4 linked regions of the Caenorhabditis elegans genome follow. The protein of the gene in region 4 interacts with the protein of the main gene of each other region in a pairwise test. Each region holds a gene or a part of one and is shown on either strand. Other genes may lie near its edges.

Region 1 (5,769 bases), on a different chromosome or scaffold from region 4:
AGAGACTGTCGGACAAAGTTTAAAATTTTAAGAGGTAAAATGATGACATTATTCTGAAAGGCGTCTGTAGTGTTTAAAGAAATTATGATGACTACAATAATCATAATCACTTAAAAAACTATAAGATTTTTTGGAAACTTATCACTTTACAGTTCTTTGAAATATAGATAACATTTTGATTTAGATCATACAAAGATTGCTGCCCAACTTTTAATTATTACAGTTTACAGAGGTCATCTTTAAAATTTTTATGCTAGTTAAGTTTTGAATTCAAATATTGGAAGATGGAGTTAAAAAATACAGCGGTTATCTATGTTTAAGTTCTCCTAAGCCCGTACACAGTTTTCAATTCAAAATTGCTTTCACCGTTTAAAAATTCCCCCGATTTTGAATTTTTTTCTGTTAAATGTTGAAGTTTTAGAGAATAAAATCATGTGGGTTCATCTATTTTCAGAATTTTTCTCAATGAGATGGACAACTATCACACAAAGTTTCAGCTTGTGGGTGTTATCATGCACAAGATTTCATCATATTCAAAAATTGAAACAAATTTTTATGGAAAGAATTAAAACTTTGAAACATATGAATTGAGATCAAAAATAAAAATAAGAATAACTTCTAAAAGATTAATTGAAAAAAAAGATTGAAAAGTGAACATGAGCAGGAAAGAAACTGGTGGGTGACAATGTAGAAGACTAGAAATTCAAAATTTTGAAGATTCCTATTTAAAAAAAAACGATAAATGATATCACAAAACAAGGGATTTCGAGGGGATGATTGCAGTTTGTATTGAGGCTTCAAACATCTGTTACTGTAGGCGTGTGAGTTATCACAAGAGGACCATCTTCTGCTAGTGGCATTGCTGGAGGAAGAGCTACTATTGATGATGGAGGTAGGGCTGCCTGAAAACATTCAAATTTAGGTGATTTCTCAAAATACAATTTAAGGTCATATGAAAAAATTTAAAGTTCAGAAAGATCATTTAAACTCCTTCAATAATATTACCTGTGAGCAACAAGGTTTCCGTGGAGGTGGTGGTGGTTTATGATTTGCATTCGAATGCGTGTGTGACTGCGATGTCGTCGATGCAGTAAGAATCGGTTCGGAAGCACAAGAAGCCGTTGTTGAAGGTACTTCAGGTGACGGAACTGCAACTGCTGAACATGCATTCGCCGCTGCAGATTGTTGTGATTTTAGCCTAGCAAGACTTCGATCAACTCGATCAATATCTTTCTCGGCGCCACGAAGAATCTTGTCCTGTTGTGAACGTCGTGTTAATGTGGCTTGTGGTGTGATATCTCCAAGTTCGGCAGCTGCTGAGACAAGTGGAGTGGCAACACCTCCCGGTGGGGCGAAAGACGCTGAAATTAAAGTTTATTGATTACGCGCTGACATTCAAAAAATATTTTTTCAATAATGATAAAAAATAAACCTTTAAAAATACTATTAGAATAGTTTTCAGAAGAAAAAGTTCGCTTTGAACTAAAACTTGGACAACTTCTTTACCATGTTTTTTGCTGAATACTCTACAAAAGTTGACTTCAAATTTCGGCTTCATAGTTTAATATTTTTTCGAATAAATTTTCAAGTATAAATGTTTATAATAAAAATCTTACTGCTAGGACTCTGAACATCAATTGTTGAAGCAATAGAACTTCGTATCGAGATATTGTCCGATAAAACAGCTCTGCATCTACATTTCGGGCAGGTTTGATCTGTTCTTTGTAGGAGATACGTGTGTAAGCATCTGAAACATTACAACTTTATTTTTAGAATCTCTGAAACTCATTCATACTTTTCATGGAAAATATGCGAACACCTAAGAGCTTGAAGACTCTCATCCTTCAATCCATATCTTTGACCGCAGAAGTTACAAAACAATTGCATTTCTTGTGTTAACCGAGACGCAGCTCTTCGAGCAGTTTCCTCAGAATCGTCATCATTCAGTTGAGAATATAGTTCGGCTAGTCGGAGATGGCACTTTAAGACAACGTGCTGAAACAAAATTTTGAAGTTTTGTGGAATCATCCTATCGATTTTGTACCTTGCACCCTATCTGATTTGCAATTTCAATACACTTTTTATTCAATTGAATAGCTTGACATTCACATTGTCCAGTGTAATGAGATCGACTTTCAGATGCACTTTTTGCCATTGACGAGAGCACTAATACCTGAAAAACACTCAGAACTTATTAAAATTATTTTCTCACAATTCCCCAGAAATATACTCATGTTGTCTGATCTCTATGTGAGATTGTGTCAACCACAAAGCTTCAAGATTTATGGGAAAGTCGTAAAAGTTATTTAATGGGAAAAGAAATTGAGACCTGGATGTGAGCTTTTGGTTTTATGAGGTATTTGGTTGTACCAATAAATAATTGAAGGTTTTTTGGCCACTTACTTCGCCCATTTTATCATTTGCTCCGCGCATTACACGATAAGCATCTTCGTATCTTGCCCAGGATTTCTGTAAGAAAGAGTTTATTATCTAACAATAGAAAAAAAAAACTCATTGATTTCTAATACAAGTTTTAATGAAAGTTAGTTGTTATTATTAACTTTTCAAGCATAACGTTTTTTTACTGAAATAACTGAGAATTTAAAATTACTCACAGTGATAGTCTCTTTGGCTTCACTCTCTCCCAATTCTCTATAAATATCTGCTAAACTGCACATACATCTTGCATGGATCGCTCGATTACCCATCTCAACAGCTAGCTGGGAAGCTTCCTGGAATCATTCAATACTTTTTGAAGTTCTTAAACTTTAAATAAAAACTTACATCGCATGCTTCCTTGGCATCAACCAGACTTCCTTTCATCCTTAGAGCAACTGATAAATGATAAAGTATCAAACAACGATACTTTGCATGAACATCATCAACAGTAACAGATTGAACAATTGCGAGAGCATTTCGAAGAAATATCAGAGCTTTAGTGATATCTCTGAAAATAAAAATGTGTTATTTTTCATTTCTGTACGGTTACCTCAAAAGAGTAAAAAGAGATCCTAGACCAACACAAATTTGCAATTCGAGTAACCTATCCGATGTCTCATTGGCAACATTCATTGCTGACTCGAAACTTTCCAGACACTGTTGGAACTGGGACATTCCTAAGTGTGCAAGTGCTATTGCTGAAATAGCCACAGTTTTGTCTAGAACCTATTGAAAATTCTTACTTAAATGTGCATAACCAGGCGTCCTGGGATCCATCGAAGGATGTTCTAACGATGCTTTGCCATACTGGAGGGCTTTCGTGAAATCTGCTAATCGTTCATAGGCTTTTGCTAGATTCAAAAATGCCTCGCATTTCATTGCTGAATCGTTTTGATCGGTTGCCAACTGCATTTGTGATAGAGCATATGAAAGCATTCCTTCGTATTCTCCCTGGTCGCAAAGAGCTTGAGCAAGGTATCCGAGAGTGATAAACCGGTCTTCTGCATTGCTGAAAATGGACGTTATAGAAAAGAAGAGGAGTCGTCTGAAAGACTTACTTTAACCTGTTCAGAGACTGTCTCCATTTATTGATAGCCTGTGCGTAATGTCGTTGATGATAAAGTTTGACGCCAGCCTGCAGAAATAAATGTTTAAAATTGGGGAATGCCAAACAGGAATGATAAAACATTTTAAAAAACATCACAGAAGTTCGCATAAATTTTAGTTTCCGAAAAAAAAATTCCCCATATCAAAACTATTACCAACCTGCATGTGTTGCTTTGCTTGCCGCTGTCCCATTGATCGTCGATGATTCGTGATGAGATTGATGTTGTCGCGACACACAAAAACACCCATTGACCTGAATAATATTCAATAATTCAAACTTCATGCTCAATATATCTTACCTACAGACCGGCGGCAAGTAATCATGTAGTTTTTAGTGATGGCTCTTCTTTTTTCTACGTGTGTGTGAAATACGAATAAAAATTATCAATCCTATCTCATCTGAAAATTAGGAAAATTTTTATTGAAGTTTTTATTTTATAAATCTTTCGATGCAGAAAGAGAAAAATGTGCATGGTGAAAAATAAAAGAAAGAAAAGAAGAGGACAATTGATGAATAATTGTTTTAGAATCCATTTCTGAGTCTGCATGCAATAATGATGGAGTACCAGAGGATCAATTATGAAGGGATTACTGTAGATTTTATATGCTTTAGCTATTTCAGGCTCTTGCACAAAAAGTTCCACCCCACAAAAAACAATTAGCTCAAGCACATTTTGTTTGTGTTGACATTTTCATGAGACGAGAATTCTTGGATGACTTTTGATTGATATTCGAGATGAAGATGAGATAGTATGAATAGACATGGAGATTTAGAGATATAGGTGAGAAAGTGATCCATCAATTTGAGGTCATGAGACGATTGAGGAAAAATTGGTGGGGAGCAAATGAACGAAAAATGATGGGATTGGAAACGGAAAATGAGGCGAAAAAAGAGAGGGAAATTTGTGGAAGATAATGGGAAACAGATAAGAAATGAAAATGCCAATTGGATAGAATAAAAATCAATTTGAGAGAAAAACATCAGAGCAAGCGCAAAAGTGCAAACTGCACAAAATAAACTATCTGCCTACACGCATGTTTACTGGCATGACATAGAAGAAACTTTCAACAAAAAGTTAAAATGGGAGAAATGTATATCATATACAAGAGTTCCCAGCGACACTGAAAAATTGCTGTAGGCAAGAAAAATGGCAGGTAGGAAATATGGGAATAGTCCTAGAATGAACTATATTTATTAGAAAACTAACTAAACATATACTTCAACTAGAAGTCAAGTTTTGGAGTTCGAAAAAAACCTGTGTTTGTGCAATATACTTTTAGAACGAAAGGAAGTCCGAACTCAAGATAAATTCAAACTTTTAAACTTTTTTCACCGTTTACAACTCCGCCCAAAATGTTTTTTCGGTACTAGTCCCTATTTGAAATCACTCTGTCAAATTGAAATTTTCGGGAAAAAAGAAGAGTAGTACTCTCTAATGTGACCCGCCGGCTCAGGCGAGCTTCTCAGGGGAACTGAATCCAATTTGGAATGAAAAGAAATTTGGGACAAAAGAAGTGAATACGGGGAAAAAGAAAGTAGATCTAGAAGAAGAGGAGGTCTAGTACTTTGATGCACATCTTAAGGAATCCGTATTCCAAATGTTTTTTTTCTTGAGTTGCCCCAAGCTCTCCGAGTTTGGAAAAGGATGGGAAACGGAAAATCGAACTCCCATGGGAAATTGAACAGAAATTGACATTTTTGTGAAGAGATGGGTAAAGAGTTGGGACACATTGAATTGTGTGGAAGAAAACGATGAGAAGAACCGATTAGATTAGAAATATTTTTAAGGATGAAGATGAAAAAGGATTATTTAGAAAAAATAAATCAGGAAAATTTCAGTTTCGACAATAAAATGTTAAGGGAATAAAGTTCCACCTCTGGATGCCCCACTTGAAGTATTTTAAATAAACAATATTTTTAGAAATCCAAATATATTTTCAAAATAAGTCTTGATGTTTTCAGCACTACATTTTCATATCGACGTAATTTTAAAAATGAAAAAAAAAATTTCGATCAACAAGAACAGTGAGCCATGGTTTATTGTAAGTTGGAAAAAAATATGTTTCACTAACATGATTAATTTACAAAAAAATAACTCTACATTTGAACTTCAATTATAAATTGAATGTCGTGAAATAGAAAAAAAACTATTTGAAATTGAGAGTTATTAATAATTTTCTAAAAAAAAACACAATTTTGAAATAGCTTTTTTTCCTAATTGC
Region 2 (4,843 bases), 4.1 Mb from region 4:
AAGTTAAAACTAACTTGATGATACTCATAAAAATTCTAATTCCTAAAATTCAACGGAAGACGCCATTCCTCCTCATATTTGGGCGATGTCGCTTCTTTCAGCCTCTTCAACGATCTCCTCGCGCCGTGGTTCTCAGCCAAGTGTAAATATTCTCAATTTTTAGTTCATAAAAATCTAGAAAAATCAAAAAGCTAACTTGAATACTTAAATGGATGTTCTCTTTTCTCTTTCTAATCTACTTTCATCATTCAATTTGATATGACATTCCCTAATGCATAGTGATATTTGAATGAACGAGACAATTAGAAGAACACCCAATTGATTCAATTTTATACTTTAAGGGTTTGAATTTCTTTCAAGACAACAAAAGAAACAAAATTAAAAAGGAGAGAATGAGAAAGTAGGGCTTGCTGATGTAAACTTTTCTTAAAATTAAAATTGAGCATTGCACCTGCCAACTGATACGCAAGAAGAAACTTATTCGAGCTAAAAAAGGCATTCGAGCAGAAAATGCATTTTATTCATCTCTGAATATCATATTAAATTGTTAAATTGTTTGATAGCGGAAACGAATATGAATCGGAAATGAGATGATTCCATACTCTTCGAACAATTTATTCACGTTATTTTTAGAGGAGGAAGAGGAGGAAGCTTGATAGTTCAAAGGGTATTTCAAAGAGGCATTCTGTCTGGAAGCTTTGAATTTTCAAAATCAATGACTAATCGATATTTCAATTTTTTAACCTCCTTGATTTACAACAATCGTTCTATCGGTGAACCAAATTCAGTTAACACAAACCATTGATTTTAAAGTTTCAAAGATTTTTGTTTTCCTTTAGTAGAGAAAAAATCAAAGAATTCAAGTATGTTGCCATCAATTTTCAGTAAAAAAGTGGCAAACAAAATTTGAAGAGCTAGGTGCATTTCTACAACAATTTTTAAGTCCTAATTTTCAAAGTTTAAAGTCTTATTCTTTGATTTTTATTTTGAATTTCATTGATAATGTTCAAAGTATTTCCAGTGAGTCATTTTGGCAGAAAGAAGAACATTCTCCGAGCATGAAGCCATGTTGATCAGATAAATGACGCGAGTCAAGTGCAAAAGATTATTGTGTTATACTTTTTTATTTGATACTGAAAATTGTAACCTTTTCAACTGAGAGATTGGTTAAATGTACCTGTGTTTCAGAAATATTTTAAACCTATGCTCGGAGAATGCTTGACATTTTTTTCAAAATAAGTTCTGATAAAGAGCTTTCGATAAGAATTCAACAAGCATCTGCTGGCGGATGTACATAGGAGAGGGAGAAAAAAGAATACTCATAAAAATACATTTAGAATTGCACAAAAAAGTTGAGTTTGGAAAAATTTTAATTCGAAAAATACCCAAACCACAGAACAGGTACTACTTTTGTAGCGAAACTATATGACTTCCATGGCAGTAAGTCCAATATTTTTAAAGAATAAATAATTGGCATAACTTTTAGAAAACAAGAGGCATTTAGACTGCGAAAGTGTATTGCACTTCAAAATTTGAAGCAATTTATTATCTTAATTTTTCTGAAATCGGACAAGAAAAGAAGAAGTGAAAGGAGGCAAAAAAGACGAAGCTGAGCCAATCGATGGCCAAATTTTTTAGAACGACAACGACTGAAGACGACTTAAAAATATGAGCATACGGATAAACAGGGAGATTAACTGGCATCCGCCAACAGATTCACCATGCAAAGGATTAACTGTCAACTATAACATTTCTTTTATTTTCTCCTTTTTATAGAAAATATATTTATTCACTATTTCATCCAGGTTCGTCCGTTGACGTACTACAGCTATGCAACCAGATTTATTCGAATAAAAAGAATATCGTGATCTTCACAATGAAGCTCGTATTTCTATTTCAAAAACTTGACTCATTTTTAAGTAGTGATGAGATGCAATAACATTAAAATTTAGGTGCTTACGTAATAACCGGGCCAATCGGAAACAAGACGAAATCTAAAACGAACGCATTTGCAAAGTCGAGCTACTGGCTACTAGTGAAGATTTTTAATTTACATCGAGTTGAAAAATAAAGATAAAATAATAAAAATAAAGATGTTTATGATCCATGTTCTTGATTAGGATACATATTATAATACTTCGGAAATGACATACATACATAGGTATGCATACAAGAAGCAATATCGCTTCATTAACAAACTATCCTAGATCATAATTTAAAGAAAAATGTTACACTTTCAGTAATTGGACTTTGTCTCAATTTTTCTCTATTTAATGTATCCTGGCATACAAAGCGTATTATAGAAAAACCGTTTCCGAAAAATTTTAGTTTTTCAGATATTTCGAAAACAATTCGATTTTTGCAAAAATATATTAACATTTTGACCATTTTCCTTTTTTTTCAGAGAAAACATTTCATGTTTTTTCTCATCAAAATGAACAACTTTTGGTAATTTTTTAGTTTTTTTGTTAATTTTCTAAAAAAATTTTTCTTTAACTATAGAAAAAAAATAAAGAATATTGAAATAATTTTAGCGGTTTTGGAAAAAAAAAACATTATCTGCATCGAAATTCGACATAAAAAATATTTGCAAATAAAATTTTCAACTTATTCTTGATAACTTAAAAGCTTAATTACATGGACAATAATATGCAATTGATTTATAATTAAATTGAAAGTTAAAAATAAAAGAATAAAACAGTTAGAACAAATTCTACCATCATGACTTTTACAGAAACTTTGACACGAAAAAACAAAAAACCACAATAAAACGCTGTTCTCTATTATTTCCGCTTTCATCGAACGAAGAAGAAAATCATCCGACAATCGGCAATTCTATGCACGCAAAACATAAAAAGAACTGACAGAGACATGTGCAAAGAGATTTTTTTTAGGGGGAGATTTCTATTGCAATGAGAGAGATAATATCTTGTTTTATAGGTTGCATTTTTACTTTTTTCGGTTTGGTAAGATACACTCAGAACTCACTTTTCTGTTGCATTACTTGGGCTCTTCTTTTGATACATAACGACTCCAAAATTGAGCATTTGATTCTGAAACTATAGAAAAAAAAAAAGATTGGCTAGAAACAAAAATAAAAAGTTAGATTGGAGTTTTTGGAGGGAAACGTTGAGTAGGCGAAACGCCGGAGCTTATCAATCACTATGGGCAGTTGAGTGGAGAGAGATTTGTGATGTGAATAAAATTATAAATAAATTGAAAGTATTTCTGATCCTCTCACTCTCTCTTTCTTTCCTGTTCTCAACATTCACCTCTACTAATCCCCTTTTTCCAGCTCATCACAAGGTTGCTCTTCGTTTTCTGATTTTGTGTGCTCATGGATTACTGTAACATTTCTAGATTTAGATAATGGTAAAGTGTATGGTGAATGGTGACATATCCGAAAACATGAAACTTGAAAATATTAATCTAGTTAAATACTTCTGCCGTTGACATTTGAGACCAGCTATTATAATAATCTCCTTTTTTCCACTCTATAAGCAACAATTTTCAATATTTTGACATCCTGTGAATTGCAAAAAATGAATATATTTTCTAAGGGGTTCGATAGTAGACATGAATTTTTCAGACGTGCTCGCCTGCCTGCTTGCCGCTGATGAAAGGTTTGATAGGAAGATGCTAAATTATGGCAGGAGTAGGAAGTTGTTCCTAACTGTCGAGCAGTGACTTTGCACTTTGTTGTCAGGAAAATTTGGTTTAACCGTTAATCCTTCAGATGAAGTTTGATTCCTGGAAGTTTTCTGAATTTGAGTTGTATCACTGTCTGTATGTTTAAATACATAAACTCCCGTGAAAAAAATTGAAAAAAAAAACAAATACGACGAGGCAAACTTATTTATTTCCCAATATAATTTTACTCAAAATCGTCGTAAAATTTTTGCAATGAAGGTGAGTTGGAGTGCGGGAGTTCGAGCCTGCCTGTACCTGGCTACGCGTCTACCTGAAAATAAAATAAGACATCAGAAATTCTAGAATAAGTTTCCTGCAATGGGTCGCCTGTAGTATGATTATTTAAAAAAAAGACAAATTCGGTATTCCTGGTATAGTAAAATGTAATTTTCAATTTTCAGAAATCTGAGAAAAAAGAATGTAAGAGTGAAACGACCGAAAAGACTGAAAGGACAACAGATGGCAGCAGTATTTCAAACTCAGTTATGATCAATTTTCCGGACGACTCAATGTATCAAAATGTAGAAAAAACTAAAAGCGTTGGAAGGTGAGCAACTTTATCCCAAATATCCCAAAACACTTTTTAATTTCCAGAGTAACTAATGAAATGATTGACAATTATTTATTGAGATACCAATTTTTCCATGGTTTTGTGCTCCAAGAGCTACAACTGATCTTGTTGAAGACGAACGGAGACTTTCTCCTGAGATTGTCGCATCAACCAGAGAAGAATGCGAAGAAGCCGACGACTCCGGACAAAAGTGCCACTGATCCGATTCCACTGACTCGTGTCATTCTTGTTCTGTCCGTCAATATCAGTTTGTTTTATTTTTTGTTTTTTTAACTTCCTAGCAGCTTGGAAACTTATTCAATGAACTTCTCATAAGTTGTCAAGCTGTTGCGGGGAACTTGCCCTCACTGTTCGTTGAAAAACTCTAGATTTTACAATTATGTTCCCTATTCAGCACAAAAAACCGGCACCACACGAAGTTTCTATGGGGATCTGGAGGATGTGAAGAAAGAGAACATGGATATGCATTTGTTTATTGAAGAAACCGCCGGCAAATGGACCTCGTTTTATATTGAGCGGCGATTCAAGTTTCCGACTATTGATGAGCTTATCAACTACTATAAGGTCAACCCGATTTGCTAT
Region 3 (5,623 bases), on a different chromosome or scaffold from region 4:
GCGCAAATTGTCTTAAACTTATTCGAAAAACAAGTTTTCTTTTTAAAAAATTTAAATTCTCGCGGACCGCATAATGCAAACGCGCCCCAATGAGAAAATAACTGGAAAATCGATTTTTCTTGTGATTTTCCAACAAAACCAACAATTTAAACTGTTATATTTATTTACCAGTTTTGCTAAAACCAAAAAAGTGCAATTTCGAACTAAAAATTCAAATTCCCGCGAAATTGCTGGAAAATCACGGTTCAGCGAAAATTTAAAAGGAATCGATAGAAGTTAATGTGAAAACAAGAGAAACAAGTTTTCCTATTGAAAATTCAAATTGGTATGTTGCAAATGCGCCCCAATGAGAAAATTGCTAAATTTTCAGGTTTTCACCACCAAATTTGTTGCAGAGTGTTCCCACAACAAAAAAGCAATGAAAAGCAGTGGAGGAAAAGCTCCCAGGAATCAATTCTCCCCGAAAACCTATAAAACTCAAATGAGCCACTTTAATTCCGTCTCATTTGATATCCCTGAGACGTAGACAGCCGCTGATTTTTATTTTTTAAAAAGGTTCAGAGGGGGGTAATCATGAGAAGAACGAAAAAAATTGGCGGCAAAACACAAAAAGAAATAAAAAAAAAATCGAAAAGAGACACACAAACAAGTCTATAAACTGTACGAGAGGGAGAGAATTAGAGAAAAATAAATTTTGCAACCAAAAAAAAAAAGACAATTCAGACATCCTCCCCCGAATCGGCTTTTCCCGAAATTGGTGTGCTAACAAATTTGTGACATTTCCCGTTTGGATGGGCCTCGTGGTACTTGGTCGGGTCGAATTGCGATACAATCAGCGAGATGAAATCCTTGGCGCTCTGGAAATTCAAATTTATATAAGGCTACAAGTGCGCTCTAATGCGAAACTCACCTCATTCTCGAGCATTTCCATAACCTCGGCGTGGGTGGTGGTGTTGGTCACGAAGGTCCCATCGATCGCCAAGATACGGTCGTTCACACGGAGCTGGAAATATGAAGTAGGGGTACTGTAGGGAGAGAGTACTGTAGGGAGAGGGATACTGTAGGGAGGGTGATGTAGGAATAGGGTACTGTTGAGAGAGGATACTGTAGGGAGTGGTACTGTAGGCAGGGGATACTACAGGGAGAGATACTGTAGAGAGCGGTACTGTAGGAAGGGGGTACTGTAGGGAGGGGGCACTGTAGAAATGGGGTACTGTAGGGAGAAAATACCGTAGTAAAGGAGTACTGCAGGGAAGGGCACATTAGGGAAGGGGTACTGTAGGAAGGGGTACTGCAATAAGGATGAACTGCTAAAAGAATACTATAGAGGACTGGTACAGTAGGGAGGCAGTACTGTAGGTAGGGGTACTGCTGGAAGGTTACCGTAGGAAGGGTACTGTAGGCAGGGGTACTGTAGTAAAGGAGTACTGGGGAAGGGGTACTGTAGGGAGGGGTACTGTAGAAGTGGGGTACTGCAGGCAGGGGGTACTGTAGTAAGGGTGTACTGTAGAAACGGGTACTGTAGAGAGAAATAACTGCAGTAAGGGGGTACTGTAGGGAGGGGTACTATAGGAAGGGAAAGGGTACTGTAGGAAAAGGGGTACTGTAGGAGTACTGTACCTGATCATCGTCCGCCATCGACCGCTTCAACTTCCCAGTGACCACGACCGGACGGAACTGATCACAACCTCCCTGAATAATTCCATTTCTTCAAATTTTTTGGCTTTTCGGCACCAACCGTAATCTCGAGCCCAAGCCCCTGATTGATATGCTCTCTCATGAGAATCACGAGCCGCGGAGAGCTCTGCCAATCGTCTCCGTTCTCAAATGCAGCATCACCAAGGTCCGACGAGTTGATCCTGGAAAATTTTTTGATGCTCCAACAAGTTCCCACAGAAATCCATCACCTACCGATTGATGAGCCAAAGCGTGTTGAGACGCAACAAGCGGTTCTCCTTCTCGATCTCGTCCCACAGTTTCGATTTGACGGCCGACTCGATCGTTGCCGCGTTGCGCACCAAATCCATCATCTGTCGCATTGCTGCCAGCTCCTGTAATGAGTCTCATGGGAAAGTGTGGGGAGGGGACATGATCATGTAAAAAATGATGATGCGTAGGGGCCAAAAATCTAGAAAAAAAGTGGGGGAAATGTCATGGTGCATCGACAAAATGTTTAGGCTGAAGCTTTGGCTTGGGTTTTGGCTTAGGCTTAGGCTTAGGCGTAGGCTTAGTATTAGGCTTAGGCTTAGGTTTAGGCTTATGCTAAAGCTTAGGCTGTGATCTAGGCTTACGCTTAGACCAAGGCTTAGGCTTAGGCTTACGCTTATGCCTAGGATTAAGCTCAGGCTTAAGCTTGGATTAAGGCTTAGGTTTGGGTGTAGGCTTTGGCTGAGGTTTAGGCTAGCAAAAAATGTGGCCAAAGTGGAAATCACCAATTTTTGGGTAACCAGAGCTACCTGAACCTCTACCCCACATGGTGCATCGACTAGGTAGAACCGTACCCTTGCGTAGAACCTGGTTGCCATGAGATGCATGACACTCTTCTTGGACACCTCATTGATATGCTTCGCCATCCGCTCGTTACGCCGCTTCTCCACGTTGAGCTTAGCCTCCACAAGACGGTGCTCCTGGATCCTTTCCATATTGTCACCGACTTCTTGTTTCTGAAATATTAAGCGTTGAAGTAGGCAGGTAGGCACGAAAGTGCCTGCCTGCCTAGTACTTGTAGGCACCTAGGTAGGTATAGGCAGGCAACATTCCCTCACCATATCATTGAAAATCTGCCTGGAAGTCGCGTCTCCCTGATGATTCGCGGCCAGCAACAAGTGGAACTGCTGGATGACGTCATCATGGGCTTCAGCTATGGCACGAAGCTCCACGAGCTCCTGGAGACACTCCTCACGCTCCTTGATTGCCAATTTCTTAGCGGATTCTTCACTGGCGGACAAAGTGCAAACCTGGAAAAATAGTTTGTGATAAATTAATAAATTATCGATTTTTCTCGTCATTGCCAAGTTTTCAATAACCGAGAAAAAGGAGTTTTGAAGTAACTATTGGAAACTTTTCAAATTCCCGCCACAGTTTTGTACCGGGATACCGAAAAGTCGATACATTATCGATTTTTTCTAAAATTTTTAAACTACCGCCCGACCGGGATTTTAAAGAAACTTTATACTAAACAAAATTCAAACCGTTTTTCGATATTTCGAGCCGGATAGCTAACAATTTTCACAAAAATCGATGATTTCTTACTGATTTTCAAAGCGAAATTTTTAAATTCCCGCCTGACCACGCCTACTTTTAGTCAGCGGAATATCGGAGTGTCGTTGGAGTGCGACGAAAAATCAATAATTTTTTGAATGACATTTGCCGGAAAACTGACATTTTTCCAAAAAATCAATATTTCTCCCAGAATTTTCAAATTCCCGCCCGACCGGAAGATCATATTACCTGCGTAAAAACATTCGAAATTGCCTTCAAATGGGTAATCCAGTCGTCCTTCTCATCGGAAGCCAGCGCCTTGGACATTGCCGTATTGAAGACAGCAGTAAGACGATTGATTTGTTGACACGTCATTTATTGATTTTTTTGCGGAAGAAAAATCGATAAACTCAAACAATAAAAGATTTTTATGCAAAAAGTTGGAAAAAGCCAAAAAAAAATCCAATGAGTTGGAGGAAATGACGTGGCAATTAGGGGGAGGAGGAAAGTCACGGGAAAATATACAAAAAAAAGTTTTTTTTTTGAAAAAAAAATTAAATAAAACCCGTCAAAAAATTCCACATTTTGGAGGTCACGTGCTGCGTGATTCATCAGAATTGTTGGACGATCGGCTTGACGTGGGCTCTTCCATACTGTAGAGGTTGTAGCTAAAACAAAAATTTAAAAATTTGACTGGGAATTCGAATTTTCTGTTGAAATTTGGCCGAAAATTTGAATTTCCCGTCGAAAAATTAACTAAAAGGTTGAATTTCCTATAGAAAAACGACAAAAAATTGGAATTCCCCGCCGAAAAATTCATTAAAAAGTTGAATTTCCCCCAAAAAATAGGCTGAAAAATTGAATTTCTTGCCGAAAATAGACAGAAAATTTAGAATTTTTTGTCGCAAATTGACTAAAAATTTGAATTTCCTATAGTAAAACGACAAAAAATTTGAATTTTCTATTGAAAAATGACCAAAATTTTGATTTTCCAGTTGAAAAATTAACTAAAAAATTAAATTTCCAGTTAAATGTTAACTGAGAATTTGAATTTCCTCCCTAAAACTGACTTATAACTTGAATTTCTAGCTCAAAATCAATTGGAAATTTAAAAATCCCGCCTAAAATTAACTGGCAATATGAAAATCCCGCCAAAAATTAACAGAAAATCAAAATTTCCAGCTGAAAATCGATTGAATATTTAAATTTCCCGCTAAAAACTAACTGGAAATTCAAATTTCCCGCCGAAAAATTCCCAATAACTCACATAGATCCATCGCTGTGCTCGATCGTCACCGTCCCATCATCATCACTATCCTCATCGGGGCACACAAAGACGAGCTCCAGGTCTAGGTCGCCTTGCTGTACCTGGAATTTGGAGGGGATGTAGGTGGAGGGCCCCTGGCAGCATCTTACCTGCCCACTCAAAATATCCACTGCCTCCTGATGCTTGACAGTCCGAAGATCGTAGCCGTTTACTGAGAGAATCGCGTCGCCCACAAAGACCTGTCCACATCGGTCAGCAGGCTGTCCCGGCTGGATTTCAGATATCACTATGGGTAGAGCGTGTTCGGATCCTCCCTGGAAATGGATTTTAGGATCCAGTAGGATTTTTTAAGATCTTGAAGAACTAGGATCCATCCGGAGCTCCGCAAACTATCTGGAGTAGTTTTGAGCTATGCAGCAGAACTACAAAAGCAGGGGTTGTCAGAGTGTCTCATTTTAGATTGATCTACATTGATCTACAAAAAATGCGGGAAAAGAGACGCAGACTTTTCAACTGACTGGGAGAAAAATTCCCGCATTTTTTGTAGATCAAACCGCAATGGGACAGCCTGACACCACGTGCAAAAGTACCTCATAATCAGATGGCACATTTGGTCTTACGGGAACTGGATCAACTCTCAGATCTTACAGGATCCCGTGGATCCCCAAAGGAACAAGTCTAGTCAATGATCTACTGGCCCAAAACCATCCAAGTCCCCCCACCTACCGTAATAGAAATGCCGAGCCCTTCGTGCGGGTGTTTCGAGAGCACCACTTTCCTGCTCTTTCCCACTCCATTTCGTTTTCGGAGGCTCTTGAAGTTGTGACGAAGTGGCGCCGTTAATCCCTTCGTGTTACCCCGTCCTCTGCAAGAATGGCAAATTGTTCAAGTGGGGAGCGGCCATGGGAAACGTGACCGCCTACCTGCAAGCCCGGATCACTGTCTTGTGCCTGTGGAGGTGAATTTCGGCTTCCAGCTGGTTCCAGAGCCTGTCGTGCTCCACGCCGCGCATGTTTCGTCCCAGGAGCTGGATTTGTTGTATCCGGCCTGCGAGTTCCTGGAAGATTAGGGTATGTAAAGCCTTGAAGCCTTAAAGCCTTAAAGCCCGATGGCCTACCTTATCCAGGTACTTTGCCGCCAGCCTGGCCCCGAAGA
Region 4 (3,410 bases):
CATGAACGCGTCATTGGTGATTGCGGAAGAATAAATAAGGAATGGGTAGGTACAATAGACTGCTTTGGCTGAGTTGTAGAAACCTCCCACGCATGCAAAAATGCCTACTTGCATGCTTTCAATGCACAGTAAGCGTTGGTCACTTTCTAGGTGTCAGGCAGGTAGGCATTTTCTAATTACATGGAAAAGTGTTCTATGGAGCCAATTAAAATAGAAATTTTGAAACATTGTGTTAATTTTAAGACAATTAAAAATTGGAAACATGGCCTACAAAATGTTTTTGAAATTCTCAATAAAGGTGGTCCGCGGTGTTATTAATTCTAGTCCTACAAGTCAATAGGAATGAAAATTCAATTGGAACAGATTTCTGAAAAGCACAAGAAAAATTTAATTTTAAAATTCAAAATAAGAGGGAATTTTTTTTTTTGTTTTTTTTTTTGCGAGATAGATTTCAGGAAATTAAAATTGAATGGAGGATGCGTCTTGGTTTTTTGCACTTCTGCAATTACATAACTTTTTTGGTCTTTTTAAGTATAACAAGATAGGACAGAAATCCGACAGAAAAACTAAGTTCACAACATAAATAGGAAAAACAACAAAACTATAAAATACAATTTAAAACCAATGATAATGTTCTCTTTTGATATCATAACGATGTTCTGGGAAAATGTAACTTGGGGCGTTAACTGTGACATAATCAGGAATACTTGTAACCCTTGGAGTCACAATTCGTAGAAGAGCATGCTCGTAGTGAACCAAATCTTTTTCACAGTCTCCACAAATATCATAGTCTGGACATTGAAGACAGTGATAACGGCTTCCAACAATTATACGGAAACAGTTTCGGCATGGAGTGTCATGATGGACGAAGTTTCTTATTGAATCATGATGATGATGATGGTGATGACGTTTGTTATCGTTGAATCGAACAGATTGATGGATTGAATGTTGAGATGGAGTTCGAATTATTGGAACGTTAACTTCGTGATAATTACGGCTTATGCTTCTGGGACGGTAATCTGAAAAATTAAATTTTTAAAAATTTTGTTACTATTAGTTTTGAGTTACATAAGAACACACCTTTGCAAAACAACTTGAAATTTCTCAAAATTTGAAAATAAAAAATACTTTGAAAGATCATTGTTCCTTTTTTTAAAAAAACTTAATTTGAATAATTGAATTTTCAAATTGTAAGATTATCTAACAAAGAACTAACAAGGTTGTTATAATAGGACTATGGAACTGTTTTTTAAAAAGTTTTCCGTAAAATCTTACCTTCCAGTCTTATATGTAGATGTGGAAGAATATGATCAGGATTTTGAACACATTCCATAACTTGCACTGAATCATTCAACTCGTTTTGAGCACCAATTGTACTATCTATTAAAAAATTATTACAAATATTTTTTCATTTCAAAAAACTCACCCGAAAATAGACGATAAACACCATTTGATGGATACAATTCGTGTGCAGCTTCAATTAATTTTTCCATTGCGTTGAACTTATTCAAATACAAAATCTTTGATCTGTGATAGTTATTATGGTAGAATGAGACATGAATATCCCTTGGAATCGTCTGAAAACAGTTTTATTACTGAAATCGAATATTCTTGAAGTTACCGAATATGATGGAGTTCTTTCATATCTTCGTTCTATGATTGGTGGTCTCCTGTATCGAATACTACTCATTTTTGTTGACCCAAACTAAATCAAAACTAAAAAGTTAATCTATAGAAGTAATGAGCAATTTTAGAAAAAAAGTTAGGAAGAGTCGAGAAGTGAAAATGTTGATTTCAGCGCCAGTGAAACTCTTGTCAAATGCTGAATGATGCAGTTTTTGATAAGATAACATTCCACTCGTTAGTCATTTTTGGAGAGCAAAGCAAAGAAAAGAAGAAGGCACATCAGAGAATGTTGCATTTTTTGAAATATCTGAATTGACTTGGTATAACACTAGAAATAACACTAAAAACGATGGGCATTCTCTTGGGTGAGTTCTTAATCCTTTTTTAATAAATAAATTTTCAAATTGAACTGACAAAATTTGCCGAAATAAACTAACAGTATGCCGCTTGTGGACTGGCTGAGCAGTTCGTTTTGAAAGTTTTCATATCGTTATACTTGATTATGGTTACTGCAACAGTACCAAAAAATAGTAAAAAACACTTTTAAAATGTTCTAAATTAAACAGTCTTAAATAAAAATATTTGAATGCAACATATTAAATCCGGAAACTATTTGAGACATCCATTTCATTTAAAGTTTTCCACTGCCAAATTTAAAGGTTTCTAAAAAAGCAAGATTGAGGAATCAAAGAAGAAACATCAACTTTCCACATTTTTCACTAACAAGATCCAACATTTATTAGACAAATTATTTTAGGAAGAGAATGAAACAGTAAAAAAAATTAGCCGGTAGGAATAATCAACTTATTATTAGTATGTCGATGCTTCGATTTGAAATAATTTGCTCCTTGCTTGCATATAAATACTGGCCGTCTTCTCTGGTTTGTGCGAAGTTCCTCACGGAATTTACGACGCTCTTCGTGCATTTTCTTCCGCTGGCACTCGAATTCTTCCTCCTTAAATTTATCATCAAACTATTGGCAAATGTGTAAGAGGAACTCACTGTCATTTTATCTTTTAACAATAAAACTAGTTTTTCACCTCCATCAAAACGTATTCCATATCTTCTTTGATACCGTAACCTGGTTGCTGGATCAAAACTTTGTTCCATCATTAGAATAATTGCAGACCATTGTCGAAGCCACTCTAATGAATTTCCAGAGACTTCTGTATAAGTATTAGTCATCATAGCAATAAGCATGTTAATGAGCAAAAGTGTTACGAGAAGCATATAGACTACGAATGTTATCTGAAAATCAAAAATTCTATATTTTTCGATGATCTTTCTAGTCTAGAATTGTTTTAAAAAAAGTGTAAGCCTACCTTTCCAATAACGGTATGCTCACATTCTTCCAATTGCTCAAAAAATACAGTAAACTCTGTGAGTGACATGATAAACATCCGTACGTAGCTTTCCGCAACGTTACTCATAATGCTTGGTTCACGATTTCCAGAATCACTTCTCTTATAACCGAGGAATATGACATAAAATGCTTGAGAGAAGCCAACTACAATGACCAAATAGATCAAGAAGAATCTCATTAAATCACGAATTATAATTTTATAGAGCATCAAGACGAATGGTCCAACTGACTTAAATCCTCTGGAAAAGTAGTTTATTTCCTATTGTGGATCTAATCATAAAGCGTACTTACCTACAAAAGAACAGAAATTTCAATGAAGTTAATAAAACAATCACTATCCAAACAATATCCTCGGCTTCATCCAAACAAAATATTCTCAGAAAAAATGTGATGACCATTAGAATACAGGAAAATAGGAAA

Evidence for each region.
Region 1: the proteins of sqst-2 (region 4) and rpy-1 interact in a two-hybrid assay, tested with the Caenorhabditis elegans proteins (one large-scale study listed by BioGRID).
Region 2: the proteins of sqst-2 (region 4) and kin-4 interact in a two-hybrid assay, tested with the Caenorhabditis elegans proteins (one large-scale study listed by BioGRID).
Region 3: the proteins of sqst-2 (region 4) and ZK849.1 interact in a two-hybrid assay, tested with the Caenorhabditis elegans proteins (one large-scale study listed by BioGRID).

The regions. Positions count from the first base shown.
Region 1 is NC_003280.10:6,701,699-6,707,467, forward strand, and holds rpy-1 (43 kDa receptor-associated protein of the synapse homolog), read right to left. Parts: upstream 3,946-5,769; 5' UTR 3,846-3,945; intron 3,800-3,845; 5' UTR 3,796-3,799; coding exon 3,706-3,795; intron 3,575-3,705; coding exon 3,498-3,574; intron 3,449-3,497; coding exon 3,183-3,448; intron 3,138-3,182; coding exon 2,990-3,137; intron 2,948-2,989; coding exon 2,785-2,947; intron 2,733-2,784; coding exon 2,616-2,732; intron 2,470-2,615; coding exon 2,404-2,469; intron 2,174-2,403; coding exon 2,045-2,173; intron 1,996-2,044; coding exon 1,796-1,995; intron 1,748-1,795; coding exon 1,617-1,747; intron 1,362-1,616; coding exon 1,006-1,361; intron 903-1,005; coding exon 798-902; 3' UTR 535-797; downstream 1-534.
Region 2 is NC_003282.8:11,423,946-11,428,788, reverse strand, and holds the start of kin-4 (non-specific serine/threonine protein kinase), read right to left. Parts: upstream 3,048-4,843; coding exon 2,989-3,047; intron 2,656-2,988; exon of another isoform or gene 2,635-2,655; intron 1-2,634. Other genes in the region: F22B3.8 (Tyrosine-protein kinase), read left to right, coding at 3,904-3,909, 4,092-4,237, 4,285-4,508, 4,656-4,843.
Region 3 is NC_003279.8:14,182,068-14,187,690, forward strand, and holds ZK849.1 (PDZ domain-containing protein), read right to left. Parts: upstream 3,641-5,623; 5' UTR 3,529-3,640; coding exon 3,451-3,528; intron 2,958-3,450; coding exon 2,766-2,957; intron 2,664-2,765; coding exon 2,502-2,663; intron 2,052-2,501; coding exon 1,912-2,051; intron 1,860-1,911; coding exon 1,739-1,859; intron 1,693-1,738; coding exon 1,621-1,692; intron 1,004-1,620; coding exon 911-1,003; intron 858-910; coding exon 720-857; 3' UTR 528-719; downstream 1-527. Other genes in the region: gopc-1 (Golgi-associated PDZ and coiled-coil motif-containing protein), read right to left, coding at 3,794-3,869, 4,469-4,569, 4,618-4,782, 5,195-5,333, 5,392-5,525, 5,586-5,623.
Region 4 is NC_003282.8:7,327,271-7,330,680, forward strand, and holds sqst-2 (ZZ-type domain-containing protein), read right to left. Parts: upstream 1,706-3,410; 5' UTR 1,691-1,705; coding exon 1,622-1,690; intron 1,578-1,621; coding exon 1,427-1,577; intron 1,381-1,426; coding exon 1,276-1,380; intron 1,020-1,275; coding exon 616-1,019; 3' UTR 501-615; downstream 1-500. Other genes in the region: ocr-4 (Ion transport domain-containing protein), read right to left, coding at 2,409-2,582, 2,630-2,875, 2,950-3,229, 3,282-3,410.